Linked DNA regions of Oreochromis niloticus. The protein of the gene in region 1 interacts with the protein of each later gene in a biochemical or structural test. Links are inferred from orthologs where the notes say so. Each region holds a gene or a part of one and is shown on either strand. Other genes may lie near its edges. The genes, in order: nid1a and fbln1.

Region 1 (16,733 bases):
AAGGTAACTGCTGGCTCACCCTGTCCAGTTTAGGCTGTCGAACTCTGAAGAAGAAAACGACAAGAGATGTGGGGAGCAGCTCCCACACGAACAAGATCACTCCGAAGACGATGTAGCCGGTGTCGCCCAGAGTCGACTGTAGGTCTGCCTGAAAGAAAAAAAAAATAAATTGATGCATGGATTTTAGAATAACATGAGAGCAAAAAAAGGACACGTGCAAGTCTTACTAAATTCTGACCAGCTAGTCTGAACAGTCAAACACAGCTAATTGGCTTTTAAGAGATAAGAGATAAAATATTTAAAGGAGTTGGAAAACAGACTGATTTCTCTAGAACTCGCACTAAAACCCACTTTTTGTTACACATTTGCAGCAGAGCAAAGAAACAAAAAAGTAAGCTTTAGATGAGCCGGTCTGAGCTAGCATAGCTGCTTCCCCTTGTTTCCACACTTCCTACAGTCTCTTTGTGAGGTATCGATTTACTATAGAGAGCAATCATTCTTCTTATCCAGTTTATCCAGTTAGACAGGAAACCAAATGACATTTTGGGCCAAAGGCGCTCAAACTGTTAACATGACCCATCGTGGCCCCCTCCCCCGGTGATTCACCTGGTCTGAAACGTTGTACCAGTCATAGTCAAAGGAGTTAATACTCTTGTTTGAGAGCGCCAGCACCACCAGATTGTAGCAGGCCCTGGATGCGTACAGAAGGATGACGATGGCTCCTATAACCGTCACCTGGCACACTGATGTCCCCTTCAGTTTAAAAGAAACAAAACAGAATGACTCGTGAATTCATATTAGGCTGAAAATAAGACGTAAACTGGTGAGACGTCAAGAAATGGCTTAAAGAAAGTGATCTAGATCATCACTAAAAATATTATGTGCTTCCCCTTTCCACGCTTCACCACTCCACTAAGTTTCATGAAACTGTGCTACTTGGTTTTTTGCATCAGCATGCTCAAAACTTGGAAAACAGACCTCCTTCATGCACTGGAGGAATTTCTGTATCTTTAATTAAGGTGTGATTGGGACAGTTGGGACACACAAGAAGCATGTCCACACTATAACGAACCTTAAGCTTTCGTACGCACCGCAGCACAATTTGTCACGCACAAGAACGATGCCCAGTTGCTAGGGAACGATCTCTACGTGGCAAGCACGAATTATGTGCAGAAGTGACTCTTCACACGAGGGTGCACAATACCTTTTGATGTTAGTGACGCACCGGGTGTCAAATCAGCCGTAAGTGGCAGTGTTCAGGAAGTGTTCAGGAAGTCTACACCGCACCACTCCTGCCTGACTTTGAGTTGCAGGACATCTCACCTTGGACTCCAGGTAAATGTTGGCCAGCGACATCTTGGCGATCTTGTAAAGACACAAGGCCAGCGAGATGGCGCACAGGACGAAGAGCGTGTCGTTGATCGCGACCCTCACCAGCACAATGGTGTGGGCTTCTGCAGAGGACATCCTCACCAGCAGGGCGCACACCAAATTGACAACTAAAAACACCAGGCTGATGAACAGGAAGGTGAGATACAGTGGCAGCCTGGTGGTGAGGAAACAAAAACAGGCAAAGAGTTATTAACCCCAAAAATTGCTATTAAAAAGAAATAAAATAAAGAGTCTTCTTAAGTCCACCAGCTGGTCTTACCTGTACTTCAAAAGCTCCGGTGCATATTTGGACTTTGCCTTAAAAATAACCTGTGAAAAGGAAACAAACACAGTTTCATTCAAATGAGCGATGGCCTTGTGTCAGACTGCTTTCACTTCTCTGTTCTTGCTCTCCGAAACGCACAAGACACTCTGATTAAACAGGAACCTCAAGGCTGTAAAACGATTTAGAGCTGAACTTCGGATATGCAATGGTCACACAGCGCAGGGCCTCAGAAGCTTTGAGCCTCGCTTCTCGTTCGCAACTGTGACTCACATCAAGCGCAAGAGGATTTACGCTAAAAATAGGCTTCAGGCAGAGGCCAGAGGAGCTATTATTTAGTATCTGGATTATGTAAGCAGTTGAAGGAATGATTCACTGCATCCCACTTTTTCACCTGATGTGAATGGGAGTCTGTTGCACTGAGAGCAACAGGTAATATTCAGTGGACGACTTACTTCCTATATGAATCACTGTTACAGTGGCATGTCAAGCCTGGGGTCATGGCCTGTATCCTGACAATGCCACTCTCTAAAATTCAAAATCCTGAAAAATAAAAATAAAATAAATAAATTGAGCCATCCAGCCAGCCACAATGGGTGGGTGTATGGCTCTGAGTTCATGTGCATTCAAAGATGCTCTGCAGGCATGACAAATTAAGAAAATTATGACATGAGGTTTATGGACCAACATTATCAAAATGTGTTGAAACTGGCCAACTATTTCAATGCAAATGAATTTTATTTATATAGCACCAAATCACAACAACAGTCTCCTCAAGGTGCTTTAGAGTGTAAGGTAAAGTCCCAACAATAGTACTATGAAAACCCCAACAATCAGATGACCTCCTGTGAGCAAGCACCTGGCGACAGTGGGAAAGAAAAACTCCCTTTTAACAGGAAGAAACCTCCAACAGAATCAGGCTCACAGAGGGGCAGCGATCTGCCTAGACTGGCTGGGTGTTATACCTAGAGCGACCAGGTGGTCCACCTTTCTCCCCGTCCTCCCATCCATGACAGTAGTATACACAAAACAATCGCATACATCAGTGTTTTAAAGCAGCTCTCAGCATTTCCACATTATCCCACTCAAATCTACCCTTTGCCCCACATTTAGTTTGTTTGCTCGTTCATTATCACACTGTAAGTTGGATGTTGGACTAACTGGTTTATAAACCAGCCGGGGTGTGACACATTTTTTTTTTTTTTAGCCCAGACAGAGACTTCCCTCATTAATCAAACACTGTACACACGAAAAAGAAAAATAACGTGACAACATCTGAGCAACTCACCTGCGCAAAGTACAGGTTCATGAGGCAGAGTGTGAAGAACTGCAGGCAAACGGGGAAGCAATAGAGCAGCCAGAAGGGAAAGGGCCCCAGAGTGTTGGCTGTGATAAAGTTCTTGAAGTAGAAGGAGAAGAGCACGGTGCGCAGCGCCGACCACAGCAGGCACAGGAACAGGAACACAGTCTGATAGCTGAAGCGCTTGTGTCGGTACCGCAGGACCAGCCAGAGCTGGATGTAGATGAAGATGAAGAGGAGAGAGTAGAAGACGGTGTAGACCACCGTCAGGCCCAAAGTGACGTAGGGTGGCACGGCCGGGCTCAAAGTAGGCAGGGGCTGCGAGTCGTCCGACGCCCAGAGCCCCTTCTCCTCCGCCAGAGCCTCCATGACCTGCTCTCTGTGTCCGGGGTGGGAAGAGGGGGGTGATCACCGCCAGCTCCTGCGGCTTCACAGAGCCAGCTTGTCGGCTCTTGTCTCTCTCTCACGCCCGGCCGAAGAGAGAGATGGAAGCCAGGGCGAAAACAGGAGAAAGGGGGAGGAGAAAACAAGGCTGTCAAGACGAGCGAGGAGGGAAGAAACGCAGCAAGTCCAACTTCCTGCAGCCGAGCCGGAGAGCGAAGCACATGATCAGCGATGAGAATGAGCCGTTTGTCAGGAGAGAGAGCAGGAAGCCGCTCAGAGTTGCAAGCAGGAGCTCCGAGAGAGGACCAGCCTCCTCCAGCGCCCCCATCCGCTCCGTTCTGCGCACTCGTTTACGCTACGCTACGCATCAGCTGACGCACGTCGCCGTACCTTTAACCCCGTGGAGGGGTTTCCCACCGCAGCGCCGATCCCGGGAGAGTTTACATGTGTTTACCTTCAGTTCATCAAGATGAGTGAAATAAAGAGTATAATTAATCACGCAGGGGGGGCTGCCCTCCCGGTTCACACAGTTTAACGACAAAAGTCAGGATCTTTAATCAGCTTTTATTTTTCTTTCATTTTGACTTTTTGAAATTTATTTATTTATTTTTAACTCAGTTTAGTTTCAGTTCCTTTCCAGAGTGAAAAGTAACTAGTTTTTGATGTCTTATAATTTTTTAGTTTCAGTTTAGTTTTTAGTGTTTAAAAAATGTTTTTACTTCGGTTTTTATTAGTTTCAGCATTAGTTGTTTTCTTTATTGTATTCCTGTTATTGTATGGAGAGAATGTGTCAGGGTTAAGATTCAGGAAAATCTGCAAAGGTATTATACTGAAACAATGCAATGAACATGTCCGCCAAAGCCTCATCAGGTAAGTTCTGATAATAAATTTAACCAAATTAACAAATCTAAAACTGAAGCTTTATTTATTTATCTTATTTTATTCACATCTAGTTTTAGTTTTAGTTACTGTAATAACCTCATGTTTTGAACGACAACGTGTAAATGCCAGATCAACATTACGGTTTAACATTTTTATGAAGTTTAAAGATTTATTATACGTTAATTAATGAATTAATTATTCTTAATGAGATACATTTACATACAAAAAAGGAGGGAAATGTTATTTTTATTTAGCGTTTGGTACTTGTCCTCTTTACAAGACAGAGCCTCAGACTTTCGAGGTTATCTCATTTCAAAATACAAAAATGCATTTGTACATTTAATAGATTATTGCAGTCCAAAGGTCCTTACAGATGACTGATAAGCCAATCGTAAGACAGGGCAAAAATTACATTTACAAAAAGGACACAAGAATTGAATGAGGTCAATAAAGTAATGATTTTTTTCCTCTGATTGGCTGCAACTTGCAAACAGAAGGTTTGAACCGCAGGTACTGTGCTCACAGTCAGAGGTGTTTGCCTCTTTCAGGATAGCACTATAATGTGTCAGGTCACAGGACTTTCTAACATTAGCTTTGCCTCTTATTCACACTGAACTTCAAAAAGACTGGATTTAGAAACCTTACTGCCTGTAACTGGAATGAGCTCCAACAAATACAGAAATAAATAAACATGGAGCTACATTTTCTGATGTTACCAGAACATTTTAAAATGATCTATTTATGAATCTGAAATCATTATCATGCATATTTTTCCTCAACTATGTATAATGTGTCTTTCTATTTCTATGTGCTTTCTTTCTTGAGCTCAGTGGGACAACCTGGGTAAAAAAAGGTGTAATACTGATCATGATCTAGATCCCAGAGCAGAAAAGGCCTGTCTGAGCAGTTGAAACCTGAGGTTTTGACTCTCTGAGAAGGCACTGACGTCATTATTGTAGACTTTTTCCATGTTTCATATGAATATGCAGCACTGTAACAGTATGTTGATGACACAAAATAAGAAAAAAGTACGATAGGTTGACTTTATGGTATAAATACACTGTTTATATAGTTAAATTATCATAAAGAAACAGCCAACTTTGGCGAAATTCAGACTTTTAAATGGTCAACAAATGTTCGAACTAATCCTACAGAGGCGATCGTTTCCTGACTTTTAGTTCCTGTTATGAGTCATGATCCAAAAATACTGAATCCTACAGCTTTGATGAAGCAGATCGGTTCTTCATTTGACCCTTCCTGCCTGGAAAACACCCACATTTTTAGAACTTCACAGATACATTTTGCAATGTAGCTTTTCCATTTAAAAAAGTAAGTCCCATGGCTTTCATGATATCATCAGGATTATTTTCTGCCACATTTTAAGCTACATCCTGAGTTTCAGAAGAACTTATATACTTTTCATACATTGAATAGTCCACCTGGTCACAAATAAAACATTTTTTGTTTATTAAATTAAAATGAAATAAAATGTAACATTTCCCTGTAATTCCAACCACAAGTCACAGAATTCAGGTTATGACCCAATCGGTTATTTATCCAGTGTGCACAGAAATCTAAGGGACATTTGTTTGTTATGGTAAATATCCTAACAGCAAGGTTTTGGGTTCACAAGACCAGGGCATGTGAACATGAAGAATGTCAAGGATGGAGGTCACTGGGATCCATTAATCTTTTAGCACACGGGGACAGTGCCAGCCAGACACCAAACAGGATGCCATCAGCTACAGTACCTCCCCCTTGGCTGTGAAACCACAGGTTGGTACTCTCCTATATCAGAGATATGTGATTTTGTGTTTGGCCTGTGTAAATGCAAAGATAAATGCATATATTTTTACTTCAAAAATGCATAATTCAACCAGAGGCTTAATTACGGCATGTTTTAATTAGGCCAGGTCAGTGCAGTTTGTACAGAGTGCTGGGGTGCACTGTCCTGCTGTTGGGGGATGCCATTGCTCTGACATGGAGTGGGAGGTGTGGATGGATGTCTTAGTCCATTCCAAAGTTTAGGTGGGTGGTAAGTGTCAAAGTAACATCTACATGAATGCCAGGACTCAAGGCATTTCCCAGCAGAACATTGCAGTAAACTGACCAGTCAGTGGTTTCACTGCTGTGGCTGTGTACTGTCAGTGTATACAGATAGCATAAAACCTCTTTGTACATGGTATATATCGGTTTCTTTGTTCACTCAGAAATACTTCAGCCTGGCTGCAGTCCTTCATATTGCCTGCATCTTTGGTTTCATCTGTAACAGTATTGGAGTGATAATGAAATAGCACTTCAGTCTGATTATCAGGCCACAGCGTCCTGTTATAGACACATCAAACACCAGCCTGCTGGTTCCTAGGCAACTTGGTCAGAGAAAGCAGACTCGCTCAGACAGTAACAAGTCAGAGCTAATGGCATCACCGGCTCTGATGTAAATATCCCAACAAGGGTCTATTGTGTCTCACGATTCAAACGCAGAGAGATCCGTTTTATTTCCTACAAACACTGTACTGTTATGAATTACATTCTCTTCAGCCCATTTATAACAATATAAATCTGTGTTGAGGAAATACAAGTGCACTCTGTTATTTAAATATGGTGTATGCATATTAATTTTGAAGCCATGTGTGTGTCACACACATCACCAGTGTGTGAATGTGTGTGTGAATGGGTGGATGACTGGATATGTAAAGCGCTTTGGGGTCCTTAGGGACTGTTAAGGCGCTATATAAATACAGGCCATTTACCATTTACCATTTACCATGTGAATCTGTGAGGTAGGTATTCAGAAACCACAAATGGAAATCCCTCAAAATGACCACGAGGTGGCGCCTTTTAGCTGTAGAGAAACAGAAAGACATCGGGGGATACTGTGTTGCTGATTTTGGAACCACAGCATGTATGGTGCTGTGAAAAAGTATTTGCTCTCTTCCTGATTTCTTCTTTCTTGCATATTTGACACACTTAAATGTTTCAGATCATCAAACAAATTGTAATATTACCCAAAGATAACCTGAGTAAATACAAAATGCATTTTTAAAACAAAGATTTCATTCATGGGGCTACTGGGGGGGGGGCTACTTGGCCCTGTGTGAAAATGTAATTTCCCCCACCTTGACCCTGTCCGTCAGACTGAAGTAGACTAAAAGATCTCAACATCTGAGATCCCTTTGGAAGCATAATTTCTAAGGTTTTGGGACTTCAGTGAAGCATGGTAAGAGCCATTATCTACAAAAACCTTGGAACAGTCTTAAACATTCCCAGGAAAGGCCAGCCTATCAAAATTATTCCGATAACCCTTTAATGATTCATTCAGGATGTTACAGGCGATAAGGGGAAGTAACAAAAAGTGTCCAGGTCGGAAAAAGGAGACGAGGAGGCAAAAGGGTTACATTAAAGAGTTTTATTAAAGTTTCTATCAAATACTCGACTAAAAGAGATGGACAAGCCGCTATCACCATTTAAAGAAACAAAACAAAACTCAAGCGTTGGTCAGTAAACTGAAAAGTAACTAAAAAGGATTAGTTGCCAAACACACTCCTCTCCACCAAGAAGGAGCAGAACACACACACACAACTCACTGCAACCACTCACATGGCACTCTGGCCCAGAGCTCACCTTTCTCTGGGCTTAAATACCTTTAATTGCTGATGTGAATGAGCTGTACAAAAGAAAAAGGTGGCACCTAAGGCAGGAGAGCTGGTAGGACACGCCCACACAGGCAACTGCAGGAGGAGGCCCTGCTAGGGCCGTAACAAGGAGGTTACAAAAGAACCTAGAACAACATCTAAAGAACTGCAGGTCTGTTTCACTTGTGTCAATTAAGCTCAGAGTTCATAAATCAACAAGTCCACCTTTGACTGGATTTTTTTTTAAAAGGGGGAGTTTTTTGAGTGGCCTAGTCAAAGTCTGGACTTACATCAGATTGAGATGCTTTGGCGTGACCTTAAACAGGCCGTTCATACTCAAAAACCCTCCATTGTGACTGAATTAAAACAACTCTGTAAAGAAGAGTGGCTCAAAATCTTCCACAGTGACATGAAAGACTCATTGCCAGTTATCAAAAATGCTTGATTTCAGTTTTTGCTGCCAAAAGTGGCCAAATCAGTTGTTAGGTTTAAGGGGCAATTACTTTTTGTCATGGGGCCAGGTAGGTTTTTCCCTTAATAAATGAAATAATCATTTTAATCATTTGTATTTCCTTGGGTTGCCTTTGTCTAAATGTTTGATGATCTGAAGCATTTAAGTGTGTCAAATATACAGAGGGGAAAATACTTTGTAAATGATAAATTGTTACTACTTGTTAGGTCAAATTTACAAAGAAAACCTAGCAGCTCAGAGGAACAGAAGAAATATTTCATTGTGCAGCGTTAGAGTCATTTACACAGTCTCAGCAGGTTTGAAGAAGAAGTTAATGTTGGGTGTTTTATCACAACATTAGGCAGCTTCATGAATCACTGTCTTGTTTAAAGAAATCTCATCCTGGTGGTATTTATGAGAAAACCGCAGAAACATTGTCTAAACATATCATATACTGTGGAAATCATTCTAGGTCTTGGAGGTAATTTGTCATTAAAGATAGGCAGGGATAGCTCAGTAGGTAGAGTGTCTGCCCCATGATCGGAAGGTCGGGGGTTCGACCCCACTGAACGGCTACCCTGAGGTACCCCTGAGCAAGGTACCGTCCCTACACACTGCTCCCCGGGCGCTGCACTGGTGGCTGCCCACTGCTTCACTAGGTGAATGGGTTAAATGCAGAGGAGTAATTTCCCTTCGGGGACTAACACAACACACTTTACACTTTAAGTGCTACAGCGGTGGGTGAGTCTGCATTTTGGAATGATGGTAAACATTTGCAAAAAGCCTTTGTGGGGGACCGTGAATACCAACTGTCAGAGCACTGTGGACCAAAGGGTGGACGGTTCACTAAGCATCTCAAAAACAGCTCCAAGTTGAAGCATATTACTGTACCGGCATGCCTCTCATTATCCCAGCTGGAGATGAGTCTGATAGCCTCAGCACATGCCTCAGATGATTAGTGTATGGTACAGTGCTTTGTGATATTGTCCTTTACATAATGTTTCAGTCAAATCGGGCATGGGGCTCTGTTGCCGGTTACTGGTCCATACTCTGATCGCCCGCTGGCCTGTGTCCAAACCTGCAAATACAGCTTCAGTGTTGTCCCTCCGGAGACAGTAGCCCTTCTATTAAAAGCACTTATAATCTGCACACAACTGTCTGTTTTCTACTGTATTGGCAACACTGCAATAATCTGTTTGAAGAATTTTAAATAAAGGATCTGCAAATGACCTTAGCTCTTCTCAGAGTTTAATTTGACTCAATCAAAGCGCCCCAAAGCATGCCATCATTAAAAAACAACAACAACAACAGCACCATACCATTTGTTTCAGGAACATTAATGAAAGCAAAGCATGGGCTACTTCTCACTGAAACTCCACTGTGACTGAGTTAGTGACCGCCCACAACTTCTTCTACAACCACTGAGTTCGATGTATCACTCGCGCCTTTAACGCAGGACTGCTTAGCTCCCTCTGAAAGACGGACCATGGGTTGGAAGGAGCAAGGCTGGATCGCTTGTCTGAGTTTTCTCGGATTTGTGGTCTCGGTACAGAGCATAAGTCGAAACGAGCTTTTTCCTTTCGGTCCGAGCGCAAGAGACCAGTTACTGGAGCCTGGGAATGATCAGACGTATCGACTGGATCTGAGCAAACCGATGTTGTTTTATGATGGCACTTTCCGCAGCATCTTTGTAAGTTAACTCTTAACCTTTTTTCCCAAGATGATTATTATTATTAACATTAATACTCTTGCGTTGGCTTTACTGGTCACCGACCGTCCGTCGTTCTTGCGCAATTGCGCGTTAGCCAGAAATGGAGTAAGTTTAAACAGTTCCTAGAAGTTGCAAAACGGAGCTCCAGCAGGGTATCACTTTTTCCTTGTCTGTGGAGTATTTGTAAATACTGGATTTCTTATCGCAGATGCGGCTGTATCATGTCGAAAGCATGTGTTCACGCATTTCTTTGTTTCCCTCGAGGTTATCATTTTACTGCCGACACCAAATACCAAACCTTATTTTGCAATCCATCCCAAAAACACCCAGTGAAGAGACAGAGAACTTTACAAAGTGGTCACTGGGAGGTTTATTTCTGGAATAAATCATGTAAAACTGTATGATTTACAGTAGAATATTAGAATATTAACTGTTGGCCTGTAGCGCTTTTAAAAAGAAGCCGCACCATTGTGTGGAACGGACAAGCAACCCTTTATTCCCACAGTTCTGGTTTCAAAGAAAAGTGCTACATCTCTGTTTTAGTGCTGCGTGTGGAAACTGTGCCATGACGCAGTAATTACACTTACAGATGCATTCGTCAAAGCTTTGCTGATGTTTTATGCATAAAGATGTTTCTACCAAGCATTCAAGCTCTTAAAATGAAGGTTTCTTCTTTAGTAAAGCTTACCATTCATTCCACAGTAGCTTGTCCCGTCTCAACCCAGTGGAGGCTGTCTCTGCACAATCTCCATTTAAGGAGATTGTGCAGAGACAATGATTAACATGATTAACACACGAGCCTGAAGCTTAAATGAAACACATGAATGCAGTGTTCACCAATTAGTCTGCTGACTGCCTCCAGGTTAACCTTCCATTACCCATCACAAACATATTTCTGCGCTGCAGTCAAGATGCCCTCAAGAGTTTTGTTTTCATCTGTGAGACGGTCTGCCCTGAACTGTCTCTGCCCTGGGGTGGGAGGGTGATTCTTCTCACTTCATGAGTATGATCCATATTTTACTGAGCACTTACATGTTAACCACTAACCTTAGAGCTCTTTATCTGCAGCACCTCTGTGAATAGGATCACTGATCATTTTCCCAGATCTACCCTCCATTTTGGCAGGAAGTTTCTGTAATGACATTTAGTGCGCAATCTTTAGGCTCTCTGGGGCTACTCATCGGGGGCAAGGACAGGAAACCTTTTGTTTTTTCCTTTGGTCAGGAAGTGAAGGAGCCCCCATGTCCAGTGTGTGTCTGGGCGTGTTTTCTTGACACGAGCGCTGCTTTCTTTCTTTTTACGAGCCTCGCATGTGTTCCCACTGCAAGTGTGTAAAGACTGTGTTAAATGGCATCTTGTTTGTTCATTAGCACAGTAGTGGGACATAGCTGCTGACTCAAATCATTAGTGTAATGAAGATCAAAGTGGGTCAGATTGAACTGGGATTGTATCCCCTGTGAAACAGTTCAAGTTGTGTCAAGAATAAAACTGTGTCAAGAATAGCAGGAATTTCATTTCAGTTTCTGTCTTCTAGATTAATGATTTTCGCTTTTCGTTTCAGATTAATACCAATGGGTTTGTCGCCACAAAAGAGCCAGAAAGCGAGCTGACGTATCTTGGCAAAATGCCCCCAAATTTTGGCATGATTGCAGCTCTGCAAGGAGACCTGCACACGAGCGATGGCGTGGGGAAAGTTTTCTTCCGAGAGGACTCCAGTCCTGATATTCTACGCCGCGCTGCTGAGCACATCAACAGGGCTTTCCCTGAAGACGACGAAATCAATCCCACCCATGCTGTGGTGGTCACCTGGGTTGATGTCACCACCCATGGACTTGAGAGCAGAGGAGATAGCGGCATCAAGAAGGTGAGTGTCACATAGTTATTCAAGTAATCTAGAGTGGACGTGGTCACTGACAGAGTCTATAATGTTTTGTTCCTCAGAGAAACACCTTCCAGCTGGTTATTGCATCTCTGGAGACCACCTCATACGCTATTGTCCTCTATCCAAGGGATGGGATAAAGTTTTCCTCCATGCTTGTGGGAGACACTAATGTAATCATGCATGCTGGTTTCAGTAAGGGTTTGGTCCAGGGTTTCTTCGGTTCCAGCAAGGGACCACACTACCACACCACCAATGATAACGAGCAGTCCGTGAGGGCTTTAGCAGAGTAAGTCAGACGTTAACAATGACGGTTCTTGAAGACATGTTTTCTGCCCAGAAACTTAAACTTTTCCTCCCACAGGGAGACGAACTCTGGCCTGAGGGGTGTATGGGTGTACGAGATTGGGACTTCTCCCTATTTTTCCAACGTGGCTCCAGGTGAGGTCCCTGAGCTGCCCACTGAGGCTCCACCACAAGAAGACGCTGACGCTTATGAGGAGTCCAGCGCTGCAAGGAGGCCGGTGTACACTGATGGACAGGTGGTAGCCTTCTCTCCTTATCTGCAGGAACAGACTGAAATCCACCCAGTTCAGTTCCAACCACAGAACCGGGAGGTGGTGGAGGTGGATGATCCAATTATAAATGTAGATGGTGAGTTTATGGTGTTTTAATCCAACGAGTGTTTGTTAGTGAGCCGTTCACCCACACTCGCTGATGGTAGCAAGCTTGTTTGCAGCTCTGCTTCCTGAGCCATGTCTATCGCACTGTATTTTGAGAGTGAGAGCGTGTCGTATATAAATGTTTATTGTGCCTGTCTTATCAGCTGTTCCAGCCATGGTATTCTTACTCTTCCTACCGTTTCCCATGTTTTCAGTGTTCTCGTACAACCTTGGCAGCTGTGCAAACAACAGAAATAAATGCTCCAAGTTTGGTGAATGCAGGGACTACGCCAACGGATACTGCTGCCATTGCATCTCTGGCTTCTATGGCAACGGGATACAGTGTGTGGCAGAAGGTACATGCAGAAAAGCGTTTAAATATGACATTTTTTTATTAGCTGGTAGATGTGGAAACATAAGAAGAAATCTTAGCTGTCTTGTTGCAGTCTCACATGCAGTTCTTGGATAAAATTCATTTTAAGTGAAGTGGGTTTGCATGTCTCTGTGAGTAACTTCGATGGGGTGGGTGTGTTTTTGTTTTCTTTTGGGGGGGGTTGCAGGAAAGCCACAGAGGGTGAACGGCAAAGTACACGGAAGAGTGTTTGTGGGCAGGTCTCCTTCTCCGGTGGAGTTCGCCAACATCGACCTCCACTCTTACATTGTTGTGAATGAGGGTCGAGCCTACGTCGCCATCAGTGACCTCCCGGAGACCGTTGGGCCCTCGCTGGAGCCCCTGGTGTCAATTAGTGGTGCGATTGGGTGGGCGTTTGCTCTGGAGCACCCGGGCTTCAAGAACGGCTTCAGTATCATCGGTGAGTAAGAACAACGCTGCAATGAAGATATTTCATGATGTGACATTCAGTAGCTTGTCTTGTAGTTTGTACAGGGTTTAAAAAAAAAACCTAGTGGGAAGCATAAATTTCTGTAAACAAATGTCAGCGCTGCTGCAAACACAGCTTGCATACAGCTGCAGTCTTCCGCACTGTCTCCCTGAATTCCACTTGCATTACCTCAGCTGTAACAGAAAGCCACGAGACAAAGTTCATCCCAGGGCAAAGTCTTAGAGTTAACATCCTCCTCTCTGGCCTCTGCAGGGGGGGAGTTCACTCGGCAGGCTGAGGTGACCTTTATGCCAGGGAATGAAAAGCTGATCATCAGGCAAGAGTTTAAAGGCATCGATGAGCACGACCACCTGATTGTGAGCACCAACCTGGACGGCCAGGTGGCCGAGGTGCCTCTTGGCTCCACCATAAAGCTCGACCCGTATTCTGAGATCTACCAGTACAACAACAACTGTGAGACATCTGGAACAGAGAATCAATATTTCACCACCTTTTCTGATTTTGAACGAGACATAAAAGAATTGCAAAAAAGCTGAGTGTTTGTAACGTGTCCATCTCACCTTTCAGTGATCACCTCGTCGTCCACTCGGGACTACGTAGTGACTCTGCCGGATGGATCCAGGGAAACCAGGAGATATCAGTGGCGTGAGACCATCTCCTTCAACGGCTGCTATCATAGCGAGACTTTGAGAGACATGAAACCTACACAGATGCTAAGCATGGACCACATTTTTGCCATTTACGATCCTGGACAACGACTCATCCGGTTCGCCCTGACCAGCAAGATCGGGGACATCAATGGTGAGAAGACTTTTTCGTTTTCCTGCCTTTGGTTTGAGCTCACTTCCTTCCTCAGGAACAACATGTCCTGACAGAGAGATTATTTTGACCAGACGGGCTTTTTGTTGCTATTGTTAAATGGTAAAAATAGGTATGTTTTGCTTCAAAAAACCAAAACAAAACCTGTTTAGAAATAAAATTCACCTTTCCTTCTCAGGAGGGCAGCCGGAGGAGAACCCATGCTTAACCGGAAGACACGGATGTGACACGAATGCTGTTTGCAAAGTCGGAGAGGGAGCAACGTTCACTTGCCAATGTGCTGCTGGTTTCAGCGGCGATGGACGCACATGTTATGGTAAGAACTGCATATTTAATCATGTAACAAAGAGCAGTTAGAGTTTATTTTCTGCTTTTGGAAAAATCTAACTGTTTCCATATCTTTCAAACTCATCGTTAAAATCAACCGATTTTCTAAAGCCTTCCTTCCTGACTAGGGAACTGCACAATCATACAATTAGCAGGGGGAGTCCCATAGGATAAACAAAGCATTTCCGACTCAGAGACCAGGTTAACAGAGCTAGTTCAAGCTCTATACAACCGAATCTTTTGCATTAGAGACCAAACAGGAAGAGGAAGGAAGAATTTCAGACAGATGCTATCATAAAAGTATTAGGAACTCTAATCAGGCTCTTTTCTTTGATCCCAAAACATTTCATAATGAAAAACTTATCTGGCAAAACCAGACTTCTCTAACTCTGACCCAATCCAAGACTTTTTAAATCAAGTCATTTTGTTTATATGACTCAACGTCACACGTAAAGATTCCCAGGATTTTACGTACATAAAAACAGGAAAAACGCACTTGGACAGAAAGGCGATCTGTCCAGGATGTACCCCGCCTCTCATCCTATGACAGCTGGGATACGCTCCAGGCTCTTCTGTGACTCTGAATTAGATAAGCAAAAGACAGTAGACAGATGAAAAAAAAATGTTATGAGTTTAGCATATCATCACTATTTGTTTCTTTATTTCTTATTATCAGACAACGATGAGTGCAGAGAGGATCCTCAGCGCTGCGGCCCTAACGCTATCTGCAACAACCAGCCCGGGACCTTCCGGTGCGAGTGCGAAGAGGGGTATCAGTTCGGTAGTGACCAGAGAACCTGCATTAGTAAGTGGTTTTTGTGTGCTGTAAAGTGCTATTACATATCAGGCAAACCTCACCTCGTTCTAGGGAGGTAGAGGTGCAAACATAACCTGTAATAAAATTCATTATAGTATGAAAAAGTCTGTGGTGATTATTAAACCGTGTAGCAGCAGCAGCACGGTGGCTGTAAAGCATTTTCTGGCATGCCCCCAAAGATCCAACTTGAATTTCAGTTAAATAAATATTAAACTGTATTCATTCGTCTTAATTTCACGCCATATTTTTCACCCTGTTCCCCAACTTAAGCAGTTCTATCCAAAACCAGTCAACACATTATTTTTCTCACGCTGATAGCATTTCCCAGAATTTGTCCTGCTTCTCCTCAGAGGTTGATCGACCCGTGGACCACTGTGAGGCAGGCACCCATACCTGCTCACCCCACGCTCAGTGCAGCTACACCGGAGGCTCGTCCTATGTCTGCACCTGCCTACAAGGGTTCACGGGAGACGGTAGAAGCTGCCAAGGTACTGCAGACAAACGCACTGCTCTCAGAATGTGCGCAAGAAAAATAGACAAAGTAGGCTTATTTGTAGTTTTTAGACAGTGCAACATAAATAACATTTTTAGCATTTAATATCACAACTTGGCTTAGTTTTTTCATTTGTTTGTTTGTTTGTGGGTTTTCTTTTTTGCATGTTAGTCCACCAACCTGCAATAAGCAATGTTGCATGTTTTCTATTATTAAATTAGTTTTAAGGTAATTTTACAAACAAAAAAAGACTTAAAGGTTGTTGGCTGCATGTGAAAATTTGCAGTTTTCCCTGTTCCTTACATTTATAAAATAAAATTCAACAATTAAATTAAATAGCAGGAGCTTCTAAAGCAGGGGTGTGAAACATAAGGCCCATGGACCAGAATCAGCCCGGCAAAAACTCCACTCCGGAGTTTTAAAAACACAGTTTTAACTTTTCTTACTTTAACTTCACTTTATTTATATTTATTTAAGTTTTACAGCTTCCCCCCACCCCACTTCATACTACAGCAAAGTCATCTATAGATACACAATTAAATGATGGAAATTTCCTGTTTTTTTACTATCTACTACAGAAATTTATGGTTTTGGTTTTTTTACAGTGAGTTCACAGAAAAGGGCTTTGTTTTCTGAATGAAACTTTGAATTTTATAACTACAGGACAGTCTGGGCAACGATTTTACACATTTGTCATGTAATTTCACTGGTCCGGCGCACTTAAAATCAAAGCAGCTTTAAGTGTGACCGGTCAAAAAAGAGGGACATGAAGAAAAATCTGCTGAAAGTAAGGACTACATTCAGTGTGTCCAAAATCACTTGATTCACCAAATGCATCCTTAGGAATTATTTGAATTGTTACACCATCTGCTCAGGA
Region 2 (16,483 bases), on another chromosome or scaffold:
GGGAGTCATTTTTTCTCACTGTACAATAATGGACTTCAAATTGTTTGGAAATGGCTTCATAGCACTTCTCAGATTGATGTGCAGCAAAAGGTGGTTCTCTAATATTAGTGCTGAAGACTTTCCTCCTTGGCCTTGTGTTAACACACACCTGAATGCTCCAAAACCTCTGCTTTTATAAAAGTGTATTTGTTTAGCAGCACCTGCCTGTTACTCTTAATTCCTGGTGTGCTTAGTTTTTCACACACTGCTTCTGTATTTTGGATTAGTTTTTGTTAAATAAATAAGAATACTTTGCAATTTGTATTTTTCTTTGTTCATCTGAGGTTGTATCTACCTAACTGTAAGACCTACCAAGAACTACTAATCCATTGGAAAGTTTGATACTTAAACAGGTATTTTAGCTCATACTCTAATTTAGTTTGCTGCAATGTTTTAAACTTCAAAGTAAGTTTCCAAATTCAAACAGTAATTAGTTATTGTGACTGTTTAGCATCTTAAGGTGGCTGTTGTTATGATTTGGAGTTACATAAATGAATTGAATATTATGAATGACTGGCAAATGAAAACCAAAGTTTCCCTTTAAACATCCATATTTGATCAATACATCAACAAATCAGGTGTAAAATGGGCTTATTCAGTGTTTCTCAAAGAGGAACACAGGATTATATATATGTACACAGGGGACTAATTAACTCAGCAAGCAGCAGGAAGTAGAAGAACACAGGTAATCATGAATACGTGAAAACAGTTAGGGCAAGAATAGCAATCACAGAGGGAGGAAAAACAGAAAGTTGAAGGAAGTGCAACAGATAGCTGACCTTCAGAGTAAAACAGGAAATAACCAAGACAAGAAGACTCAAACTAGACCTGATATCAAAGACTGGAAAAGGCAGCGATGCATAAATTGCATTTAATAATACATGCATAAATAATTGTATAGTATTGTATTGTGTTGTACATAAGACTTTTATTTTATTATTTTTTCCCCCTTTTTTGTCTTTATATTTTTAGTGTACACTGAGGGCCATGTGAGCATTGCAATTTCAAATTCCTGTATATAACTGAATATATGGTCTTTGACAGTAAAGCTGACTTTGACAAATACAAGGAATAGACAGGGAAATGCTGTGTGAACTAAAACTACTACTACTAATAATAATAATGATAATAATTTAGTAATAACCAATCATGAAAAATTCTCGCACCATGATAAATCTGTGAAATGTTGGTTCTGTTATTTTCAGATCTTGTTTTCTTGTTTTCAGGTACATCCCAAACAAAGAGCCAGCCTCCCCGACAGCACAGATGACCAACCCCAAATAAATTCCCAAGGTGAAGATGTCCAAACTTGTGTTCATAGCACAGACGACAAACCCTGTTGCCCCTCACACTCTCCAAGTGAGCCACTGGGCCAGAGTAAGACTAGACCTCCAAATCATGTCAGTTCAGTGGGAGAACAGCAGCAGGTAGAGCAAAATAAAGTCCAACTGGAAGACTCTAATGAGACCTCGTGCGCTGTGTGTCAGACTACAGGAGAGCTGTTGTGCTGCCAAAAATGTCATAAAGCTTTTCATCTTACGTGCCATGTTCCAGCTCTCCTCAGATCTCCAAGGTCAGCTCCATCAAACTTTATTTATTACTGGTCTTGGATGAAAATGCGACAGCTCATATATTTTCATTTTAATAGCAAATCAATGGCTTGTTTTCTTTGTGGAATGAAAAGCACGTCAGAACAAATCCACTTTTGACAAGTCGATTTTTACATCTTGGAGGTGTGAGATTTTCATCTGACTGCAGCATTATGCACTTGTTGACGTGAGTTACTGCTTACTGGCTGTTGTGTTGAGTGTGTAAATGGTCTCTTTTTCAGCAGGGAATGGTTTTGCACTTTCTGTTGTGACCTGTTATTGCCTGAGATGGAGTATGTCTGCAAACCTGAAGCCAAAACAATAAAGAAGGAGATGGATTTTGAAGGAGCATTTTCCCCTGTGGACAAACAAGTCAGTGCTTGTTTTTAAAAATGATTTACTGTTATGTAATTATAATAATGATAATACTATAATAACAAAATGACTTCAATGCCAAGTAATTCAAATTAAGTTCAGAATTCAGCATAATCTGATAAGTCATGTATTTTTCAAATTTATAGCCGTTTTGTAAAACACCAGTGAGCAGCATCTTTTTTAAAAAATTCAACTCAGTTAAATACCATTGAAGTTGGGTAACATCAGATTAATTCCAGGCTTCACAGGTAAAAATATTCATTAACAGAGCATCACCTATTATCATTATGACTACATTATATAAGATATAAACCATAAATACAGCTGCGTTCTCTGCAGTAAGATAGATCATCCCACCTTACCTCAGTTTGATCTGCCAGCTATGTTGTCTTAATATAGGCCGAATGTCTGAATGTTCAAATTTTGTCTTTTCATTCTCACATTCAGCACGTTTCAGATAACTTTACATTTATAGAAATGCTGGTATCGGTTTATGCGGGGATGTTACTTGATTATACTGTGTAGGAGGCAGAAAACTTGTTAGTTTATACGACATTACTTTAATTTGTAACCAGCACTTATGTTCCTAAATGTAAGATATGTAAATCAAATTACATATCAAATTACAAACATATTACAAATGTTTGTACCCATGTAAATCATGGGTACAAAACCCAATAAAAGATAGTAATTGTAAATAGTAAAATAGTGCAGCTCATCTGCTTTTCCCTGACCAGGAGTGTCACTCAATTGGGAAATGAACCATCAAGTTGAAGTACAGAGTCTGCCAAGTGGCTTTCTTCCACAGCATGTTTTTTTTTTTCATGTCTTTCTTCTCTTGCCCCAGCCTGGTTCTGCTGGGGGTTTCTTCCTGTTAAAAGGGAGTTTTTCCTTCCCACTGTCGCCAAAGTACTTGCCCACAGGGGTCATAGGATTGTTGGGATTTTCTATTATTGTAGGGTCTACCTTACAATATAAAGCACCCTGAGGCATGTTGTGATTTGTGCTGTATAAATAAAATTGAAATTTAAATAGCTTGGGTTAGAAGGGAGTTCCTTGTCTCATTTTGTGTGTGTTATCTTGACAAGAAAAGTTCTGTTCATATATATATATATATATATATATATATATATATATGTATATATATATATATATATACATATATATATATATACACACATCTATAACATGCATAAAGCAAATGTTTGCTGGAAAAAGTAAATGTGTAGTCGACCCGTACGTGATAGCTGTTAGGTTAGCTAATATTCTCATTTGCTTCTGCAGTGCACTGCCTTCTCCTACGTGCAACCAAGTATTGTGCTGTCACAGTAGGGTCTTGTCTGCTGGCTCAGTCTTCAGCTACACAGTTCATTTTCCCAGGAGATTTCACCTGCTCTTCCAAGTAGCATACTGCCAGAACAGGCGTTGGAGGCAGGGAGTAGAAATAAAGACGTCATTCACCCTTTTACAAATCAGTGTACCATCAAAAGGATTTCAAGGCTGTTATTTTTATAGTAAAACTTGCTTTAAAACAGTGGTTTGTTAAACTGAGGCTACGTCCACACTAGCCCGGATAGATTTGAAAATGGCGTTTTCATCTGAAAACGATCCGCGTCCACACTAGCGTTTTCAGTCGTTTTCACAGAGTTGTGCGTCCACATTGAAAACGCTTACGTTCCAGTCCTGCGCATGCGCAAAAACGGGTGAGAAAAGCTATCTAGACCATGTACAAACTGATATTAATGCTTTTTAGGGCTGTCAAAAAACAATCAAAACAACTGCTGTATAATGCACTCCGCTATCTTTGTTTAATTGGTCACATGACTGCATCACATGACTAAAATGCGTCATCGTTTTAGAAAGTCTGCGTTTTCGAGCGTCCACACTGCGACGGGACAGCTCCGTTTTGAAATGTATGCGTTTTCGAGAGCGTTTTCTAAACGCTGCATTTTTCCTTGGGCAAAACGCCGTTTCAGTGTGGACGGGAGGCCAAAACGGAGAGAAAATGATGCGTTTTCAAACGAAAACGCATTAGTGTGGACGTAGCCTTAGTATCTGAAGGGCTAGATGCCTGACATTGCATCATGCATTTAATAACTGATAAGAACTGGTAAGAGTGCAAGGGCTGACACAAAGCAGAAAGGTGTCAAGAGAGATCCTGAGAGACGACTCTTACCAGTTTAATATTCTGCTTGACAAACCACAGATGGGAGAAATGTATTTGGTTGTTCTGATATGTATTAATTCAGGCTTATTTTTTGTGTTGCAGAAGTGTGAGAGGCTGTTGCTGTACTTGTTTTGCAGTGAGCTCAACTCAGTCTTTCACAAGTCTGCATCTCTCTCGGTGAGTCTGAAAGTATGACTGACTATAGTGGAAAAATTAACAGGATTACTGTCAGATGGAGTTACTGTAACTGTAATTTTAATTGTATGTAATACACCACATATATCAGTGATGACAGAAATTAGAAATCAGAGGCAGAGCAGCTTTACTGTAAATAAACCGTAAGTTCATTGCAGGCCCAGAACTTGAAGTGTTTCGTAATTGGACTTAAGGGGTCGGTGTGATTCTGGTGGTTTGGCTTGAAATAGCTGTTTATTTTACCCTTTACATGGCAAAACAGGGTAAAATTCCATAGTCCCATGTGCGCGCTGTTTACATGTAGATGGACACCACAGATTTGAAAAAACTAAAATGCCAACAATGTGTTATTGTTCTGTTATCATTTCCTTTCTAAATACTACAGGTACATGCTGATAACAGTCTGACTATAAAGGGACCAGTGAGTTTTTCCACAGTGAAAAACCGTCTAGAGGCTGAGCAGAGTATGTGCTATCAAAGCCCCGCAGAGTTTGTATTAGACATCAGGCTCATCTTTGGAAACTGTGTAGCCTGCAGTGAGGTACCATAGACAAATATTCTGCAACAATAACTATTATTCAGTTCTTGACATCTGTTATTAAACTGTTCATCCTTTTCGTTTTATCTTCCTTCAGTGCCGGAGTAACACTGAACTTGCCGTGACATGTAGGAGATTTAAAGAACTCTTTGAAGATTATCTGAAGCTCATCTACCCTGATCAGACCTTTCCAGAAATCAAACCAGAGATGATTCAGACTGCTTCACCCGAGTGTCAAGATTCTCAACTCAAATCTCTTGACAATATAGTCCCACTTGCAAAACGCCAACGCACATTTTCAGATTCCCAGGATGCACCAAGCTATCTCAGTGGAGAAGAGGGTATTGGATTAAAGCTCCAATTTTCCTAACCAATTGGATATGTGCCGGACGGCACAAAGAATGTGTGGTGTGTAGCGTTTTATTAAAAAATGTTGCCTTCAAGTTACCAAATACATTTTATTTTTAATGATTAAATGGTATTGCATGACAAGAATTGTGAATTCAGAAGTCAAATGATACTTTTTTGTGTTCTAATCAGAATTAAAGCTCGTAGGTTTTGCAGTATTTCTACTTCTGACTGAAACCTGAAGAGGACATTTTAGTTGTTCTTTTGTTACTACTGCTGTAATCAAATGATAGTAATCACAAACTCTCAGGTTTCTGATGTTAAATTGTGTTTCAAGGCCCCTCACAGTCAGATCATTAATAGCAAATTAAAATAATCTAATAAAATTCAAGACAAATACATTGCATACTTTCACACAGTGCAGAATATTTCTGTTTGCCCTGGTTTGTTAGGCTCTATTTACACAGTCCAAATCTATAGTTTTCACAATGTAAAGGAAAATGCAATTTTATTTAGCATTTTTTATGTATATTCTGGCTTCTTTATATTATATATTCTGGTGACACTGCCCATGTAACAATGTGTGTGATTATATCCGTCAGGGTCATAATGTTGACTTAAAAAGCTTTCTTATAAATGTAAGACATAAAGACTGGTTTTCTCATCACCAGAGGTCAGAACATTTACGCATTCAGGTCAACTTGCATAAATGAACAAGTATAGTAACTATTATTCCTTATATATTGAGTAACAGCTCCAGCTAAGGTTTAATGTTCTACACCTTTTTTGGCTCGATAGCTGCATGTTAATTGAGTTTCATGTTGTTCTACAAACTCCTTTGGGTCCCACAGGGCAGATTTCAGTCTGCCTTTGATGTGTTAGTGACCCTCTGCAGATTGACATAGACGTGGCAAGACCAGCTATAAGGAGCTTCAAAGGAGCTGCGCTACACCCCCAACAACAAGATTAACACTGTTTGAATGCGACCTTGGCCACTCCAATTTCCTTCACCTATTAGCTTGCAAGTCAGCTCATGCTGCGTTTACTTGTTAAAGCCCAAATGTAGATTTGAGGTGGAGCGAAGGAATGAGGCTTAGTTGTTTCTGGTGGACTGAAAGGCATGGGAAGTTGCCCTCTGACTGTTCTCCAGCCAGCTGGACTGGAAGCATGGCAGGGTTCTGGCTTTCATGCTGGACATTCTTCATTCCTTATATGGCATATTATCTCTTATTAGATAAGATTAGGACAGGTCAGCACTAAAGGCTTGCCCTTTGTTGTTGTGATAAGTCTAAGAAGGAGTTGCTACATCTTTGGCTGATAGAGGACTCCAGGACCTACATATGCTTTACTATAGTAGTACTACAGTCTTAACCCAAAGGTACAGCAGACAGTAATATATTAAAGAGCACAAAATTTATTTATTTTTGACAATCGTGTGAGGAAGTACTTGCCCCCTCCCTTTTCCCCGCATATTTGTTACATGTTTCAGATCATCAAACACATTTTAACAATAGCTCAAAATAACTGGAGTAAAAACCAAATCCTTATCAGGGTTGCTGGAGGGAGCTGGAGCCTTTCCCAACTGCCACAGGGCAAAAGATGGGGTACACCCTGGACAGGTCAACAGTCTGACAGAGGACTAACACACACAGAGACAGAAAACCATTCATACTCACATTCACACCTATGGGCAATTTGAAATCACCAATTAACCCAACCCCACTAACTGCATGTCTTTGGTGAGTAGGAGGAAGGCGGAGCACCCAGAGACAACCCACGCAAATGAGAGAGAAAAAAAAATGCAACTTTTAAATAATAAGTAACTTTATTAAAGTAATTAAATCTATCCAAACATAACGGACTGTGTGAAAAAGTAATTGCCTTTGTTATTGTGATAATCCCCCCCTAGATTCTTGGCTGATGGAGGACTCCATTAACTACATATGCACTGCTAGTAGAGGCTTAACCCACAGGTTGAGAACACAATAAAGTCCCGCGTTGTGGACTTTTATGATTCTGTGAGAAAGTAACACCAAGAGATCAGGAAGGGGCCGAATACTTTTTGATGTCACTGTTTAGGATTTATAGCAACTTTTAAGGTATTTTCCTGTCTTGCTGATACTAGACTTTGCTTATTTTTCCAAATGATTTGGTAATCCATTACAAAAGCCACCCCACCATGTCTGCTTTTACTTGTGGCAGGGTCTAATTGCTGTGCTGTAGTGTCCAAGTGCAGGTTGATTCGAAAATATTTCCCATTTTCCATGCAGGTGCAGTGAAAAGGAGGAAATAAAAAAGAGACAGAACCTTTCTGTGATGGATTACCTGCTCAAACAATTTCCCCAGAAGCTTGTTTATAATATAAAGCCCATTTTCAAAAATATTATATTAGAAATATTGCAATTTGATACATATACTGAGAAAGGAAGCTGTGGATTTTTCATCCTAACAACTTACCCCAGTTACCCACCTCTGTAAAACTGGTGTGGTATGAAAGAGAACTGCCAAGAATTTGCAATTTATTTATGCCATTAAATGGGCTACAACATTCAAAACACCAGTGTGCTGTATTAAAATGTACTTTTACAGAGAGATTGTCAGAGTACCAGCAGAAAATACACACTGTAGTGGACGGAAGCACAAAGAGATCAAGACACGGCTCATCAAGCACTACACATTTAAAAGGGCAATTATCCTTTTATGACAGTCATATACCTGTGGCCTTTCTTATACGCCTGTGGTGTCCTTATATCAAGCCCTTGGTGATGTTTCTTGTTGGTTAGACTGGTGGTGGTGGAACCATATGGCTTTGATTAGAAAATCATTTAATCTCTCTCTGTCGCCATGCCCAGAGCCAGTAGACTGATTGAATTTGCAGAGGGTCTTAGTTGGTACAAAATGTTTATAAAGCACTATATCAATTATTTCTCCACTCCTTGCCAGTTCTGGTAGACGTGTGTGAGTGCATGCGTCTGTGGCTTGTTTATATGTAGCCACTTTTCACAGCTCGTGATCACTTTGACTGATGTTGAGTGCACAGATGTGGCACACTCAGGGAAGATTGAATTCATTCACATTACTATAGAAATTTAAGCTTTATAGTAGAACTGCAGGGACCCGTGACACCGCTGTGAAGATACAATATTAAGGGTGGGATGGGTTGGAGGGGGTGTCACAGAGCCAGGTCTTTGTCTCTTTAAGTGCACCAAACTCATATATAATTGCGAATAACAGCAGTTAGTGGTAGTGAAAATATTTATTTATTCTTTATTTCCCTTATTTCGTCAGAGAAATCCAAAAGGTTTCCAGGCTTACAGTCTGGATATAGCCACAACACATTTTTAAAATACCCCCAAACCAGCTCCAGATGTTGGGTAATCACTACAGTCATTAGTCACAGGCAGAAATACTCTGCTCTGCCATTGATGGAAGTGCAGTTTCCATGTGTGCGCGCACACTTCACGGTACAGTAGCCCGAAGATGACTGCGAGTCCCATCTCCCGAGGCAGTTTTTCAGATGTTGTTCAGGACACTCAAAAAAAAAAAGGAAAAAAAAGGATCTGCAATAGGAGATATTTTAAAACGACAGCTCTTTTGTACACTTGCTAAAATATACTACCTGTAAATTATATATTGTAATCATAAACTTTAACTGCGATGTGGTTTGAAATAAGCCAAAAAAAAAGAAAAAAAGATAAGCAGTAAGTGTGCGCCTGTGGCCCTCAGCCCGCCCCTCGCGGTGCCGTAATTAGACATTCCTTCAGTCAAGCTGCAACTGCGACTCAGCTCCATCAAATCCACTTCTTTTCCCAGTCTAGCTTCTTCTTCTTCATCTTTTTTTTAAAGGAGCACTGCAGTTTCTTCACACATCCCCGCGGAACAACCAGCATCGGAAAGTCCACCTCGTCCACGTCTGTTTCTCTCCAGTTTTTGATACTTTGAGTCTCACCTTTTTCAATGGGTCTGCGCGTAGCGCTGCTCTGCTCTCTGTTCGGAGTTCTTCTTGGCCAAGGTAAGCGTGAGAAGCTGGGTATCACTGCTGCGAGGTGAGCCAAGCAGTGGGACTGTGTATGTGACAGTGATTTGGATCAATAGCGCATATTGCATGGCAGCTTCACTTTAAAGTACTCAAAGTAAGAAGTAGACAGATAACAGGCTAAAGGGTGATACTTGGGGAAGTGATGCATTTGTCTGGAGGCTAGTTGGGGCATGTGATGAAAGCAAAGTTTACAAAGGTGGGTGCTTCAAAGTGTTGCAGGTCTTTATTAAAATTGCTAAGGCTTGAACATCTCAAATTAAAAGATTGAAACTATTGTTTAGAATCATTGTTTTCCCTCTGTTTCTTTTTTATTACCACTTACAATGTACAATAAGTAGCACTGTGACGATATTAGTGCCACCTAAACCATTTTCCAACTTTTTGTGCACTGCATCAACAAAACCCACAGCAACTTTCCAGTTAACCTTTTCTACCTTTAACGCTCTCACTACTGTGTTTTATTTATTTACACCGTGGACTGGAATCACTCTGTTCCATGAAGTGATGATATGTCACCCCCCAGAGTGTTAAAATGTAGTTTCACACCAGTTGTCAGGCAAGAGTCCACCCTGCCTGAGGTCTCTGCCTGCAAGTCAAAGGCTGAGTGCCTTGGTATGCTGTGATGCTCTGTAAGAGCAACCAGTATCTCACCAGGGCAGGGTGGTCCTAGACAGAAGGGTGAGATTTATACTTGAGCCTCACAGCAGGGTCACCAAGTCATAAGACTAGCTGTGTCTTAAAAAGCCCACTGGGGCAATTTCACAGTCAGCAGGGGGACCTTTCTCTCAGCTGCCTTCTCTGTAGGGGGTTGTGTTGCAGGTCTTTCTGCAGATCTGCTGGGTATCAGCTCAACCAACTGCATAACCATATGCGTTCCAGATAGATAAGCTCGACCTCTGTTTCAGCCTTTTGTATATATCAGTAAGATTGGAAGAAGCTTCCACATGTAAGCTTTGAGTGGTGCCTATGAAAGAGATGCACACTTCTACGTTGTGATGTCTGTCTGAGGCCAGCTCCTCTGTCTAGGCGGGGCTCCACGAGTAGGCTCATTAAGCCTTGTTTACATGAGGCGTCTAGACGCAGACAAGACATGTGCTGCTCTGCCAAGACAGAATGGCCCTCACAGCTAGCAACATCATCCAAAATGGAAATTAGCCCTCTCCAGACAGACAATGCACCGAGGAGACTGAGAATTATGGCAGGCTGTATCTAAACCAGAGCACAGCTGTGCCTGGTTTGCTTCTTCTTCTTCTTTTTTTTTTTTTGATAAAAGACAAGAAGCCATGCAGTTTTAAAGCACTTCTGGTCTTTCAATTTTAGGTTTTCGAGTCAGCAGACAGCGGTGGCAAAGGAATGAGTCAGTGATACCTAGTGGGTTAGAGTTAGTTATCAGCAGAATGCTACTGTGAGGGGAAAAGTCCAGAACAGATCGCTGGGGGAAGTTTAGAATAAGTGACCAACTGTTCCTGGCGTTTAAAATGCACTGACTAAGCTCCCGAAGAGAAAGAGTTTAGGATTAGTTCATTTTGTTGGACTCTGGAAGTGTACCTCTTGGATGCCTTTCCAGTTCTAATACAAATCATGTGTTTTGACAAGATGGTGTCAGTTACTGGAAGTGGTCAAAAAACCAAAACATTACACATATACACAGCGGTACACACATTTAAATAGGATCCGTTAATGTTAATAAACATCCATATTTTCAGCCTCTTGTGGGCACAGTTTTTTTTTCTAGCTATTTTGGAACACCCTGGTGTTACTTACACATTCAGAAAACAAATTAAGTCAGTGAGCGAGAGACAGAGACAGAGAAAGAGAGAGGCTGGGGGAGCCTACTTGGTAGGCCCATGTGAAAAGCTTTTAAAATGTCATCTCATTTCATCCAGCTGCTACAAGGTTTATTGGCCAGAGGATACTGGGATGTGCCAGACTTCCAGAAGTCAGTAGTGAGTCAGCTAATATGCCTGTCTACCAATAAATCCTATATCCATATTCACTCCTTTCTGCCAGGTTAAACCTCCTTTCTGTAGTAGGAATGGCCACAGTTTTTTTCCCTGTAACCTCGCTTACTTTCTTAAAGAAACAGACAACAATCAAAACGTGTCATTTTTTAAAGAACTCTTTCTTGTGTCATTGTTATGCTTCTCCTCATATTAGTTCTAGATTTCAAGTGGGACTTATAGAAACTTGTGATGAACCTGAGAAATTAAGCTTTACAGCAACTCTTGTGTTGTGTTTCCACGAGGTTTACCAGTGTGCAGACTGTTTGTGATAATAACTATTCCCGCTTTCGCCTCAGCTTGACTAGTTTGATTTAATGGTCATAATAAAACATTCCTCCTGCACCTCTGGGAGAGGGCAGCAAATCTATAAAACTGTGGACTGCAATTCCAGACACTTGTCCTCCCTCCCTACCTGCCTAATCTAACTTATTATCTGATCTTGCTTACTCCTGCTAGACGCAGATGGTTCTGTTTGAGGTATTTCACAATCACTATTCTGGATAATTCAATATTTGTTTTCTCTTTTTCCTCTCAGGGGGGAAATAAAGATGATTAATGTCAATTTTGTAGACTGATCTTGGTTTGAGACACAGGCAACAAAAAAACTGAAAAAAAGCCCAAGACGTGGATCTGCCAAAGCTATTTCACGTTTGGCATATCACACGCTAACCACAGGCAAACGAACGTGCTTGATGTAATTGTTACGGCTGATTGTTTAGAGAGTCGAAGCATTCCAAACTCTCTAATCCACGTGAATAAACAGCCAGATTACCACAGAGTTGGTCGCGCTCCAGTCAAAAGGCCTCATGTGGTTCTGCAAAAACATATCCATCATTCATTGTCTTTGGCAAAAAACAAACAAAAAAATCTCTCAAGGCTTTTCTCATATCGTCAAACAGACTCTGAATTTTGTTTATTTGCTATACAATTTGTCTTGGGTCACAATAGCAGGATTGTCTTTTGTTTAGGAAAGAGAGACAAAAAAACAGATCATCATAGCTCAATTAATAAAAACTGTTTGGTCTCGCTGAAAGACAAATGCTTATCGGATAAATGTTGCTCATTTCCCTCAAATGATGCTCAGAAGTTTGCCATCTGATATATATTTGAGGCACAGTGTGTTTAGGCACTTGGTGTGTGTGTGTGTGTGTGTGTGTGTGTAGGCAGGCAGGTGGCCGGCACTATATTGTGGGGCCTGCAGTTATTATGACAATGACACATGTGAAAATGGAGTGTTGTGATTCACCTGTTTGCACATGCAAAGGTAAAAACAGTGTTGTTTTTATTAGGAGCAGAACAAATCTCAATGGAGGACTGCTGTAAAAACGGGCAAAAGCATGGCACCGATCATGAAGACTGTGCATCCCTGCCCCTTATTTCTGAGTCAACCACATGCAGGTAAGCCGGTGCTGTCTGCTACTTTGCTCTGTTAGGTTTAAGTGGGGTCGTTTATAGACTTCCAAGCCGTTAAATGCTGCATTTCTTTGTCAAAATCATATTTTCTATCCACTGTATTGGGCCCAAGTGATTTGGCATGTGCTGGATATTAAGGAAATGTCTAAATGCCCTTAATATGAGATCGCTTTACCTTACTCCCATAAATCTCTAGGCACATTATTCACTTCACGTGAGAGCAGGAAGCGCTAATAGTGATGGGATAATAACACGTCTGCTGGTAACCATAGAAGGTGTGCTGCCACAGGTTCAGGGCCTATAAGCCAAACTGATGGCAAACACATTTGCCACTGTAAGTGATCCCAAATTTGTCTAAATTATAGTGTGAGGAGTGGAGAGGAAAAGGGGCAGGGATTTGTGGGGGTAGCAGGGTAATATTTAGGGGTGGAAAAAGGTGAGGGGGGTCAGAAGAGGGGCTGTTTCAAAACCCAGGAAATACCTTAGAGGTGAAATCCAACATAGAGGGAGGGAATAACAGGAAATCTGAGCGATTACTTCAGACACCAACGTAAGAAGAAAGAAAAAAAAAAACAGGAGAAAAACAGTAAAAGGAAAACAGGAGCACACGACTGTGCCCTTAAAAGGTTCTGCAGAGGAGGCGTGTACCTTGTTGTGACTTTCAGATCTCGAGTGGTTTATGTGGAAAGAGGTTTCTGGTAAGAGTTGATAAAAAAAACTTGGTTTGTTATGTTTTTTTGTCTTGTAAAACTGCAGGGAGACAGAGATCCAGACCAGGGAGGAACAGTCAACCTCCCCTCCGCTCCCTTAACTGATTGGGCAGACAGTTAGACAATACAAGGAAATCTGATCTGAACAGAAACATTTAGTAAAACATATTTTTATGATAACGCTCTTTTGTCAGATTGGGCTGGCTTCTTCCCGGTACTGCTTTTCACAATTAAACAGCTATTGTCATTTTTTAAATGATCCTTGCAGAAGATTCGTGTTTTGCTAATCCCTAGGGGAATCTCAGAGGTGAAGGTCAATTGCAATACATCCTGTCTCAAGATGTTACTCATTTTATGGTTATGGCTATTTCTCAAATCCTAACTGTGTCAGCAAATTCTTAAGAAATGGTGAACTGATTCTGTCCCGGTGATGTCATTGTGGCTGCAAATAAACTACAGATACTGGCAAATGTTAGTCAGCCAGTTAGGGCCCCTGCTGTTCTGCTTTTTTTTGTTGTTGTTGTTTTTGTAGGGTGTGAATGTTGGATGAGGTTTGTTTTAGTGATTTAGATAATTTTGGACAAATGTGCAGCTTGGGACTGAAATCTTTGGTTTAACTTGGGTCTTAAACAATCTGAACAGAGTCCTCAGAGAGCTGTCAGCATTGCAAACACAATACATTCGGAGTGTCCTCCGCTGAGCTCATTCTAGACTTACTCAGCCCAGTCATTCATCAGTTTTCAGTGTGACATGAGATCCCCGTCAGGCTCGCCTCGGGCCGATTTTAATGAGCTGCACTTTTAAGACAGATTTGCTTTGCCATGAGCCAGTTATCGATGGAGCAGAGAGTAAATGCACCACCTGTGTTTTGTGTTTTTTCTTGCTGACAGGATAGTGCAGGAGCAGTGTTGTGTAACAGTGCTCGAGGATAAAATGTGCACCAATGGTATCAACACTGCCAAAGACCAGGGGGCCTGCGATTCTTTATTCACCAACACCTGCGACACCAAGACTACAAAGGTGCGTTTGTATGAGTGTATATGAGAGTTTTGTTAGTAGAAATTACAAAACAGAAAAGTAAATCACCAAAAAACGTCTTTAACCACTTTGTTGGACGATGATTATGGCAAGTGATTGATGAGAGCAGTGTTGTATATCTCTCTATGTGTGTGTGTGTGTGTGTGTGTGTAGTGCAGCAGGATGAGGCATGTCACTGTAGGGAGGAATGAAACTTGTTGCTAGATTATAAATTAAACTGTGACTGTGGAATATTTCACCAGCGCATATCCAAGCACCTTTTAGATTTGAAATGCTTCTCAACCAAACTCAGGCAAACTCTTGCCTTTATTTTCCATTCTATATGTACTATATACACAGTATATACAGTGTTTTTGGCAAGAATCTTGAATCACCCTTGGTTTCCTTATGTTCTGCTTCCAAGAAGCCAGACTTTCTTGTAATTTTAAGCCCCTTTTCCATTAGTAGCTACTGAGGTCGGCTCGCCACGGTTTGCAGGGTTTTCCGTTAGATGGAAGTACCTGGTACCAGGACTTTTTTAGTACCTATTCCTCTGGAATAGGTAGCCATCTGAGCAATCCAAAAATATGACATCAACAGACTGTATGTCACCGATTGGCTGGTCAGTGGCGTAACTCGATGAGTAATGAGGGTGTCTCCTTAAGGAAAATCAAAACCACCGCTAAAGTCAACCATTAAAAACAAAAGGACCAAAACAGTAAAAATGATTAGGCATAGCTATTGCACCAAACATCAACATTATAGAGAAACGTTCCCATTTGTTTTAAATTAATTGAAATAAATAGTAATTTTAATGGGGTTACAATCCAATATAAACTCATTATTAGTGAGCTTTATAACTAGCATGAAAATCTTTACTTTTACACAAATCTAGGCTCGTGTAAGATCTGCTTCCATCTTTGATTACAGATTTAAATGCTTTCTTTTTCTAACCTTCATTAGTTCCCTTTAACTGGTTTTATGTCTTTCAGAAGTATTTTGATAAATTATTTAATAAAGAATTTGGTCTAGAATTTCTATCCATCAGTTGTGATCTACTATATACTGCTTAGAAGCTTTTAAAGGTGTAGCCCCACACAGCCCCACTGCATGCTACAACCGTACTAAAGCTTTGACCTACTCAAAAGTGCTGTATAAAATGGAACAGTGGAATTGCAAATACCTGTGATGAGTATTTTATGTTTAATTTCAGTTGAGATACATATTCTTTGTGGTTGGACATCCATAAAGAGACCGAGATGGCCTGATCTCAGGCACATTTTAAAGGAATATAAAGCCTTCTGTGTTCTGCATAGGAGTACCTATTTACATGATGTTTTTATTTTAAAATAAAATTAGCAGTGTAGCTCTGATGAGGGAAAACAAGCCATCCTTAACACATAACCAAAGCTGATTGCTTCCCATATTTACCAGAACCTCTTCTATGCTGACAAACATCAGCTGCTCTGTGTTCCTCTCTCTGCTGCTGCTGGCATGGCTGGCAGCATGCTATGATGATGCACTTACAAAAATCATTTTCTCTACAGTGCTTTCAAGTTATTTTACACAGTTTCTCCTGCCACACCCTTTTTGTGAAATTAAAATGCTTAAAATCTGGAGCATCTTTAGTAGCACGAAAACAATATGAGAATAACACCACCACGGGGTTGCAACACATAACAACAATGCTCAGTGGCTAGTGGAGCTAAGAGAAGACCGCAGCAACTTCCCTGAACAGGATCCAGTAACCATCACAGAGGCAGACATCCAAGAAAGAGTCTCAAGCATGAAGCGTTAGACAGTACCAGGCCCTGACATGAGTCACACTTACAGGCTAAAGAAAGTAAGTGTAACTCTATGAGCATCTGGCAGCACATATGAACCAAGTGGCTGGCATAGTATACAGGAACATCTGTGCCGATTATGTCCTGGAAGTCCCGAGGTCAAAATAGGACACGTCCCCAAGGATGGTTGAGAAATGCATTGACAAACTGGTGATGACTAACCAACCGGACATAGTAGCGGTGGACACGAAGAGAAAGATGGCTGT

What was found.
Region 2: the proteins of nid1a (region 1) and fbln1 form a complex in vitro, tested with the Homo sapiens proteins (3 studies listed by BioGRID). The link is inferred for Oreochromis niloticus from reciprocal best matches to the Homo sapiens genes NID1 and FBLN1.

What each region holds. Positions count from the first base shown.
Region 1 is NC_031978.2:23,795,862-23,812,594, reverse strand, and holds the start of nid1a (nidogen-1), read left to right. Parts: upstream 1-9,705; 5' UTR 9,706-9,792; coding exon 9,793-9,996; intron 9,997-11,578; coding exon 11,579-11,881; intron 11,882-11,958; coding exon 11,959-12,185; intron 12,186-12,260; coding exon 12,261-12,550; intron 12,551-12,773; coding exon 12,774-12,914; intron 12,915-13,118; coding exon 13,119-13,370; intron 13,371-13,652; coding exon 13,653-13,853; intron 13,854-13,967; coding exon 13,968-14,201; intron 14,202-14,397; coding exon 14,398-14,535; intron 14,536-15,222; coding exon 15,223-15,351; intron 15,352-15,713; coding exon 15,714-15,851; intron 15,852-16,733. Other genes in the region: gpr137ba (G protein-coupled receptor 137Ba), read right to left, coding at 20-148, 607-753, 1,324-1,546, 1,652-1,701, 2,943-3,323. UniProt on the Homo sapiens protein: Sulfated glycoprotein widely distributed in basement membranes and tightly associated with laminin. Also binds to collagen IV and perlecan. It probably has a role in cell-extracellular matrix interactions.
Region 2 is NC_031972.2:46,197,376-46,213,858, forward strand, and holds the start of fbln1 (fibulin-1), read left to right. Parts: upstream 1-8,976; 5' UTR 8,977-9,208; coding exon 9,209-9,263; intron 9,264-12,582; coding exon 12,583-12,691; intron 12,692-14,306; coding exon 14,307-14,436; intron 14,437-16,483. Other genes in the region: transcription intermediary factor 1-alpha, read left to right, coding at 1,266-1,612, 1,871-2,000, 4,273-4,347, 4,751-4,906, 5,001-5,273. UniProt on the Homo sapiens protein: Incorporated into fibronectin-containing matrix fibers. May play a role in cell adhesion and migration along protein fibers within the extracellular matrix (ECM).